2 linked regions of the Canis lupus familiaris genome follow. The protein of the gene in region 2 binds, or shares a complex with, the protein of the main gene of each other region. Links are inferred from orthologs where the notes say so. Each region holds a gene or a part of one and is shown on either strand. Other genes may lie near its edges.

The links.
Region 1: IQCG (region 2) and CCDC153 share a complex: the UniProt entries of both Homo sapiens proteins name them as parts of the nexin-dynein regulatory complex. The link is inferred for Canis lupus familiaris from reciprocal best matches to the Homo sapiens genes DRC9 and DRC12.

Annotation. Positions count from the first base shown.
Region 1 is NC_049226.1:14,703,545-14,708,344, forward strand, and holds the start of CCDC153 (coiled-coil domain-containing protein 153), read left to right. Parts: upstream 1-1,518; 5' UTR 1,519-4,328; coding exon 4,329-4,550; intron 4,551-4,800. UniProt on the Homo sapiens protein: Component of the nexin-dynein regulatory complex (N-DRC), a key regulator of ciliary/flagellar motility which maintains the alignment and integrity of the distal axoneme and regulates microtubule sliding in motile axonemes.
Region 2 is NC_049254.1:29,439,231-29,444,149, forward strand, and holds the start of IQCG (dynein regulatory complex protein 9), read left to right. Parts: upstream 1-1,493; 5' UTR 1,494-1,563; intron 1,564-1,666; exon of another isoform or gene 1,667-1,929; 5' UTR 1,930-1,977; intron 1,978-2,159; exon of another isoform or gene 2,160-2,315; intron 2,316-4,919. Other genes in the region: RPL35A (60S ribosomal protein L35a), read right to left, coding at 286-438, 632-642. UniProt on the Homo sapiens protein: Component of the nexin-dynein regulatory complex (N-DRC), a key regulator of ciliary/flagellar motility which maintains the alignment and integrity of the distal axoneme and regulates microtubule sliding in motile axonemes.

The DNA.
Region 1 (4,800 bases), on a different chromosome or scaffold from region 2:
GCTTCTGAACACTAGTTCCTTTTCTGGGAATTGAGTGTGTGCTTGAGGTTCCCGGGCTCAGCGCCTTGGGCTCCGTGCGTTGCCCCGCAGGTCAGCTCCGCCAGCTCCAGGCCTTGACCACAGCGGCCCAGGCCCGAGGCAGCTGCCGGCCCTGGCCAGGGGAGGACTCACTCCCCGCGTGGAACAGAAATGCAGTTCCCAGTCATTTCCACTTCTCTAATCTAAAAAGTTCTGTTGGAAAAACTCTGAAAAAAAAAAGGGGAACTTTTCTTCCAAAAGAAGGAAGTGCCCTGCCCTGATTTGCTAATTCTGAGCCTCCTCTTTGGGAGCTTGCAGGCTCTAGCGTGTCTGTTAAATGCTCAATTCTGTCTTAGATCCCCTACCTGGGTCTTCCACAAAGCCCTTAACTGATTAAGGAATTAAGTGTATCATGTGCTCCTGGCATAGAGGGGAGAAAAATCTCTCTGAACTCAAGGACTCATAAGCCAGACATCCTTGCTTTGAAATTCAATGGCCTTTATCTAAGATTGATTATGGAGTCAACATTATCGTTTACTATCAGAATTTCCTCTTATCAGTTCCTGCCTAGAAAGAGAAGAAATCTTTAAAAAAAAAGAGAGAGAGAGAGAGAGAGAGAGAGAAGAAATCTCCCAAAGGAAAATCTAGGCAAGGCTCTAAGATAACTGTCAAAACTGGGGGCACCTGGGTGGCTCAGTGGTTGAGCATCTGCCTTTGGCTCATGGTGCCAGGGGTCCTGGGGTGGAGTCCCACTTCAGGCTTCCCACAGGAAGCCTGCTTCTCTTCTCCCTCTGCCTATGTTTCTGCCTCTCTCTCTGTCTCTCATGAATAAATAAATAATTTTTAAAAATAATAATAAAAATAAATTTCACTAACTGTTCATTCTCACAGGTACCACATTTATTTATGCTATGCTATTTCATTGACTTTGGTCTTCTGGGGTACCTAACACGTTGTAGGTACACAGGGTATTTTTCCCCCTCATCATCAAATGCTAGATTTACTGGAGTAACAGGTAAGAAATTAACCCTTGGGCCTATATGAGTTCATCTGGTTCATCTACACATCTCTGGCTTCCTTTAAGCCTTCCAATTTGTATTATCTTCGGCACCACCTGGATAGAGTGTAACTGTATAATTTGTACTTTGTTTCTGCTTGCAGAAGCTGTATCTCTGGTGGCGCCTGGGTGACTCAGTCGGTTAAGCCCTGGACTCTGGATTTCAGCTCAGGTCATGATGACAGAGTCGTGAGGTCAAGCCCTGTATTGGGCTTACACTGGGTATAGAGCCTGCTTAAGATTCCCTCTCTTTGGGATCCCTGGGTGGCTCAGTGGCTTAGTGTCTGCCTTTAGCCCAGGGCATGATCCTGGGGACCCAGGATCGAGTCCCACATCAGGCTCCCTGCATGGAGCCTGCTTCTCCCTCTGCCTGTGTCACTGCCTCTCTGTGTCTCTCATGAATAAATAAATAAGTCTTTAAAAAAAAAAAAGATTCCCTCTCTTCCCTTCCCTCCTCTCAAAAAAGAAAAAAATACATACTTTTTTTTAAGATTTATTTATTTGAGAGAGAGAGAGAGAATGTGCATGGCACACACAAGTGGAGCAAGTGAATGGAGGGGCAGAGAATCTCCCGCAAACTCCATCTGCACTGAGCTCATGATCCAAGGAGGGGCTCAATCTCACCACCCTGAGATGAGGACTTGAGCCCAAATCAGGAGTCAGATGCCTAACTGTGCCACCCAGGTGCCCTATCAAAATTTTTTTTTAAAGCCACATTTCTTTAAATATACAAATAAACTCTCTCTCGCATTTGAATAAAGCAGAGGGAGTGACAGTTCTTTCCTCTATATCTCTTCAAAACTCCCAGATGGAATCCTATTCAAAGGAGGACAGAGTTCTGCTGAGATGATCTTTCTTATTTTTCACTTCTAATCTGAAGTTAATGAAAAAAAGAAGGAAAGATTGACCTTCCCCCCAACCACCACAATTTTTACTTGGCTTGTTTTCAAAGCATACTGAGGATGGGGATTGGATTGTTGATCACAATGTCATTCGCATTCTTGGGTCATTCTAGATCTGGCTCAGTTTGTATCATCACATCATGTGACATGGGGCACTTTTCTTCTTCCATTTCACCTTCACCCAAACCACATCCTCATTCTGCACCTGAAAGTCGGTTGACTGAACATATTTGAAAAGTAAATCCTCTTCTGAGGCGTGATATGTTGTTTGTATTCTGTAAACTCTGTCCTCAAAATGTCATCGCATGCATCAGCACAATGCAGAAACCAATCATTCCCTGAAAAGTGACCCCAAACAGGCTTCTAGATGAGGAGAGGACTGTGGTGGGAACCTCTCCTGCATTCCTATGCAGAGGAAAGAGTTCTGAGGGGAGAATAAATGAAACACACTTCAAGATGAGAAGAAAAGTATTCTCCAGATTTGGGAGTTGTGAACAAAGTTATCTGACCCTACATTACGGGAACTATAAGCCCCAGAAAAGGCAAGTATTCTTCTCTATACTCTGTAAAATCTCTCAAGCATCAGAGAAGTACCCAGCAGCCACCAAGGTGACAAATAAGCATAAATCAGCCCCATCTGAATCTCTCCACTCCCCAGGGAAAGGATTTTTAAAACCCAGATCGCAAAGCTATTTCTTCAGATCTGCTCCTGAGGACAGGCAATTGACCAAAAATGTTGAGGGGGACAGAGATTGAGAGAAATAACAAGAGAATCTGCAGGTTCCTTGATCCACAAAGGGAAAATCCCTGATGTTTTTTGCTGTTTTCATTCTAGCAAGTGTATGGTTCCCAGAGATCCAGGCAGCAGACAGATGAAAAAGCTCCAGAATAACTAACACAGGGCTGGAGGAGAGAGGGTTGGGGGTTGCCTAACAAGGACAAGTCACCCATCATACTCCCTTCCCCAGAACCATTTTTCCAACCACTCATGCCCCAGCAAGAGGCTAGGAAGTATCCCCTAGAGAGAGGCACTCCCAACATGGCCCAATAATTTTTTTTTATTTTTATTTATTTATGATAGTCACAGAAAGAGAGAGAGAGAGAGACGCAGAGGGAGAAGCAACCGGGAGCCCGATGTGGGATTCGATCCCGGATCTCCAGGATCACGCCCTGGGCCAAAGGCAGGCGCCAAACCGCTGCGCCACCCAGGGATCCCATGGCCCAATAATTTAAGTAGAAAAATTGAGGAGACTCCTGAGGTCAAGCAAGTCCACTAGAGGGAGCCCCGACCAACTCAATTCTACATGAAGCCTAGCAAAGGAGTTTCGCAGCACCTGACTGAAAACCAGCCACAGAAGGGAATAGAGGAAGAGAGGCAATAAATTAAGTCCCCGCAAGGGAAGATGGCCCTGTGAATTCCCAGTTAAAACCCAGCCCTTTTAGGATTTACCAAATCAAAGACTTAAAGACCAGGAAACTAAGGGGTACCTGGGTGGCTCAGTGGTTGAGTGTCTGCCTTTGGCTCAGGGCGTGATCCTGGGGTCCTGGAATCAAGTCCTGCATGGGGCTCCCCACAGGGAGCCTGCTTCTCCCTCTGCCTATGTCTCTGCCTCTCTCTGCGTGTCTCTCATGAATAAATAAATAAAATCTTTAAAATATATATAATAAAAACTAGGAAACTGAGGTTGAGCAAAATTAAACAACTGACCCAAGTTTACGTAACTGGAGGGAGGACTAGAACTCATGGCTCTTGTCTCCCACTACTACCCTTTCTTCTACATCTGCAGCCCTTTATGTCAGCACCCTGGAGTCTGTGGGTCCTCCTCTCCTCTGTGTCTCCTCTCTCCAAACTGAGAAACTCTCTCAGCTGCCTTCTCCTGCATTTCTTTCGCTCACACACTCTAGAATACCTCCCTGAGGCCTAATAATGGCACTTGCTCATGAGCCCTAGTGATGTAAATCGCCCAAGATGGCTACTGTCAGCTCTTTTCCTGTTTCAGCATTTTCCTGTGACAGCATCGTATCAGATATGGAAATCTGTAACTTCTCAGTCTCCAGACTTCAGGCAGTGCTACATGGAAATGAAGCATGGCTAACCAGCTCTGAAGCCCTTTCCCCTCCAACTACACTGAGGATTTACGGATAGGAGAGAGTGGACTCTCCAGAACCTTGCTGTCTTTTTTTTTTTTAATAATAAATTTATTTTTTATTGGTGTTCAATTTGCCAACATACAGAATAACACCCAGTGCTCATCCCGTCAAGTGCCCCCCTCAGTGCCCGTCACCCATTCACCCCCACCCCTAAGAACCTTGCTGTCTTAAGCTTTGTGCTTGGCACATACCACCCTTCTATGAGCTCCATGTTTTCCAGTTACCTGGACAACCTTCAGTCTCCAGAAACTCAACCCTGTGGTTCTCAGGCCCGCCCTCGAAGGATCTTTGTCACCCTGGATTGGTTCCCAGAACCCAGGCTCCTCCTTGGGCTCCGACGAGGTTGGGTTTTCTCTGTGCCCCTCCCTGTAAGCCGGTCACCCCGCAGGGAGACACAACAGAGGCCAGAGAGGGTCCTTCAGGTAGGAAGAAGCAGGGTAAGGATGATGGGAAGAGGAAAGGGACGAGTACTGGGAGATTGATTTTCTCCAAAAGAGGATTGAGAGGAATGGTTTCTGCCCACAGAACCTGAGGGGTAGAAAGAAATAGCTCCACCCTCCCCACACCCCAGCCTTGACTAAGGTTCCAAGGAGACCAAGAATGGAAGCTCCTGGAAAGTATAAGAGACAGACTCAGAGACTAGAACTCCAACTCTCTTGGGACGCCTAGGGT
Region 2 (4,919 bases):
GTACAGGGCAGGGATCCCTGGGTGGCCTGGGATCGAATCCCACGTTGGGCTGCCTGCACGGAGCCTGCTTCTCCCTCTGCCTGTGTCTCTGCCCCTCTCTCTTTCTCTGTGTCTCATGAATAAATAAGTAACATCTTCAAAAAAAAAAAAAAAAAAAAGATTCAAAGTACGAAACACAAAAGTACCAACTGCTTTGCCAACATCTTTTGATTCTTCTCCTTTGAATAGGAAAATGCGACAAATCTCAACTAAAAAATGCAAGAGGCATTAACACTATGAACTTACTTCTTTGCTTTGTAGACATAAGCACATCGCTTGCCGAGATAGAACTCAGTTTCATCTCGAGCATAAACACCTTCGATCTTAAGTAGAGCTGTGTGCTCCCTCTGGTTCCGGAGACCCCGTTTATAGCCGGCAAAAATGGCCTTGGACCAAAGCCTGAGACAAAATACAGAGTGACCATAAGTCGTGCAAAGATCTGGTTTCACTGGAAGAGCTCACCTGTAACGAGCTCTACTCAAAAGTCACCTGCAGCGAACATCTAATCCCCCCTCCCCAAGTTTACAGCAAACGTTTGATTTTTTTTTTTTTACAGATGCAAAAAAAAAAAAAAAAATCATAAAGTCTGTACCTTCCAGACATAGTCGTCGCTTTAGGAGTCCTGGTCCCAGCAGGCCTTAAAACAAAAAGAACCAGTTTAAAATCTTGCAAAAGCACGTTTCCCGCCCAGTCCGCTCTCGGTAGCGCTCGGCATCTGACAGGAAGTCTCTCCGGTGGGAGACACCTCGGGCAGGACGGGCTTCGTAGTCAAGGAAACAGCTCCTGGAGACGCCGAAAGGATGCCCCGAGCGGACTCAGACCACGCCGGGTAGGAAGGGGGGGGGTGGGGGAGGAAAGAAAAGCGAGGAATCGGAGAAGCACACAAAACAGAGGCGGAAGCACTGAATGGGAAAAGCAAGGCTGAGGAAGGGGAGCTCGTAGACATAACCAGGTCTGGAGTGGGAGCGTCTTGACGGAAAAATAAAATAAAATAAAATAAAATAAAATAAGATAAAATAAAATATAAAAAGGGCTCATCCTAAGGGAGCCACTGCCTCAAAACGGGCGAACGGCCTTTATCCCTCCGCTAAGGCCCAAGCAGCAACGGCGATGACGGGAGCGCCGGTTCTCCGGGAGTCCGGGCACCAGCACCATCGGCCCCGCATCTCCGCCATCCTGGCCTCCCCGCCGCTGGAATCCACGGCGCTCGCTCGCTGACACAGCCTCCGAGCCGCACCGGCGCCCCGCCGAAGCACAGGGCTCGTCTCACCGCACTTAATCGGCCCCCAAAGTTCAGGAGCGGCGGCTCTCCTCACCTCCACAGGCTCCAAGATGGCGGAAAGAGAGAGGCGAGGCCCCGCCGCGCGCGTGGCCTTGTGGGATAAACACCTCTCCGCCCCGCCCCCCCCGGTTTAGGCGTCTAACGCAACCGCCCAAAAAAAAAAAAAAAAAGAAAAAAAAGAAAAAGCCTCAGCTGTTGTCTTTGACTGAAAGAAACGTCTACATTCGAGAGCACTCTTACAGGTCTTTCTCTGAGTGCTTTTATCTTTGAGAGTTGTAATATATGTGGTATTTGAAACAGAGGGAGGCAAGAGGATAGCCAGCTAAAGGAGGACGAGGAAAGGTCCCCGGAGCTTCGCGTTGCCATAGAAACAGCAGGGCTTGGTTCCTGCAGCCCGGTGCAGGCTGCCGCCCCGCCTCGGGGACCCCAGACTGGATTCGCTCACGTGGGAGCATCTTTCTCTCTTACTAGGAGTAGGGAGGATGGAGACTCTCGGGTCCTAGCGCGGAAGAGAAAGGGCAGGAGCACGAGGGCAGGAGGAGCTCTTCTCTTTACGCACCCCCCCACCTCACCCCTTTCCTCCTCCTCCTCTCTTTATCTCTTTGCAGAAACGTCCTCCAAGTTCCTAACCTGCAATCCTTCGTTTGGACTCCAGAGTGAGTATTGCCGCCTTTTAAAGAGCAGCTGCACGGGTAGCTGTGGGGCGCCCAAGCACCGCGCCTGCGCGAAGTGGGTCTCTAGCAAATCCTGGCAGGTGACGGGAAGATAGGCTAGTGGGCGTCTGACCGTTGCAGGTTTATTTGGGTTTCCCTCCGGGTTCATTCATTTGTTTCAGCAGTTTATTGAACGACTACTATGTACCGAGCTCTGGTCTTGGCTCGGAGGACCCTGCAGGAAACGAAACCACGGAATTCTCTGCCCTCTTGAGCTTACAGACCTGTCCTAGGAAGGGAAGTGAGACTCTAAGCAAGCACAATATATGGCACATGAGCAGGTAACATGAGAAAAATGTTCTCTATGGAGAAAAAAAGAATGAAGCCAGGATGCCACTGTAAAGAAGGCTTTAAAAATATATATATAATTTTAAAAATGAAGAAAAGAAGGCTTTTACTCTGAGATGAGAAACCAATTTGAGCAGTTCTGTATGGAGGGGAGACTCAATCTGACTTCCATTTTAATAGGGTCATTCTGTTGAGATGGAAGGGAAGCAAGAACAGCGCGGAGATCCATTAGGAGGCTCTTGCAATGATCATGATAAGATCATGGCTTGCAGACAGGGGTGATAAGTACTGGACTTCTGAATATATTTTAAATGTAACGCTGATAGGATTTGCTGATGGGTAAGGAATGGGAGAGAAGAGTAAAGGATGACCCCAAAGCTTTATGAGATATCTATAAATCATATTTAAGGTCCTCTCTTAAATACATCAGGATAGGGGATCCCTGGGTGGCTCAGCAGTTTAGCGCCTGCCTTTGGCCCAGGGCGCAATCCTGGAGTCCCGGGATCGAGTCCCACGTCAGGCTCCCGGCATGGAGCCTGCTTCTCCCTCCTCTTGTGTCTCTGCCTCTCTCTCTATATATATATCTATCATTAATAAATAAATAAATAAATAAATAAATAAATAAATAAATAAATAAATAAATAAATAAATCTTTTAAAAAAATACATCAGGATAGAGTGTAGGTACCTTACGATCCACTCCCTCTATCCAGTTTTCTCTGTCCCAGAAATATACTAAAAATCTCACTATTAAATGTACTAGAAATCCAAATGTTAAGTAGTCCTGAGAGGAATAAAACCTTAAAGGTGAGTTTCGTTCCTTTGTTCATTCATTTGTTCTACAAATACTTCTTGAGCACAGTGCTTGAAACAGGATATAACAGTGAGCATCACTATCACGTTCCTGCTTTCATGACACTTAAAAGCCTAGTGGGGGCAAAACAGTAACATTACAAATTGTGAAGAGAGCTCTGTAGGAAAATAAAAGTGCAGTGATTGACCAGAGGACTCCTGATCCAGCCTGATGAATGAGGGAAAGTGTCACCCGCAGAAATGTCCTTTAAGGCATTTTTCAAATTGCAGGTGTAGGCCCAGTAGTAGATTGTAATTATAATACTTTTTAGGCAAAATATATGATAGAATCAAAAGTATCAGAATATGGCACATGTTTTTTTTCTTTTTTTTGTTTTTTTAATTTTTATTTATTTATGATAGTCACAGAGAGAGAGAGAGAGAGGCAGGGACATAGGCAGAGGGAGAAGCAGGCTCCATGCACCGGGAGCCCGATGTGGGATTCGATCCCAGGTCTCCAGGATCGCGCCCTGGGCCAAAGGCAGGCGCCAAACCGCTGCGCCACCCAGGGATCCCAGAATATGGCACATGTTAAACGTAAATTGGTATATGAAACTTGTTTCAGTTATTTGCCTGTATGCATACTTAAGTATATGTCTGTGTGTGCACAGTGTATATAAAAATCTGTGTATATAGGTCATTGCATCAGTCAGTGTTGCCCTGGATGGAAACAATGATAGAGTTCAGAATTTCATAAAGGATCTGTGTACAAAACTGTAGGCAAGAGTGAAATTCTAAGGGATGACATAGTCTCCAGGGACGTAGGGCAGAAATAGTTACCCAAGCCCCCAAGCAAGAGCAACGTAGAGAATATTGCCTGACTGGTGCCATGGCCTTTGACAGAGAAACTTAGCCCAACCAATGATGATTTGGCAGGGAGGGAACTGGGAGGATAAACACTTGATCTCACTCTCCTACATTTATGGAACCTCCTGTTGATGTGCCCCATATGGGTCAGTCTCTTGGGGTATAAGAAATGGTGAAGATTAGATTTAGAAATGACAGATACCTAGCAAAATGCCACTGATTTAGGCTGGTACCTGATGGACCAGTGGGACTTTACAAGATGAAGAGTGAGGGGAAGAGTGGTCCAAATAGAAGGAATAACGTGTGTAAAGACCCTGAGTTGGAAGGGGGCATGATTCCATAGAAGAATTGAAAGAAGTACATTGAGACTGGAGCCATGAGAGCAATAATAGGGCAGTGCCAAGTGGATATCTGAAGAGAGGAACAGAGCAGGCCAGACCATGCAGGCCTTATGGGCCAAGTTTAGAATTTTTAGCTTTTGTCCTAGGGCAATGGGAAACCATGGAAGGATTCTAAGGAAAGACAGGATCAAATTTTTAGTTTAAAAAAAAAATGATTTTCAATTTTAAAAAGATCACCTCCAATTTGGGGGCTGTTACAGTTGTTCAAGAAACAACAGTCAGGTCCAGCATGGTGTTGGGGGACATGGAAATAGAAGATAAAATCCACAGGACTTAGTGATGGTTTGGATTGGGAAATGCTGGGGTCAAGATGAAGGAGGAATACTCCTAGATTTCTAGCATTGAGAAATGGGAAACCAGAAGAGCATGAACTTGCTGGATACTGCATTAGCATAGCCCTGTCTTACCTGCATGAAGCACATTTACCTATGCCCCAAGCCTAAAAATAGGGAAAATAGAGAAACAACAATAACACATCAAAAGAACAAAAATCTTTATACCATGATACTTCCTCTTAACACTGCTGTTGTACCAGAAA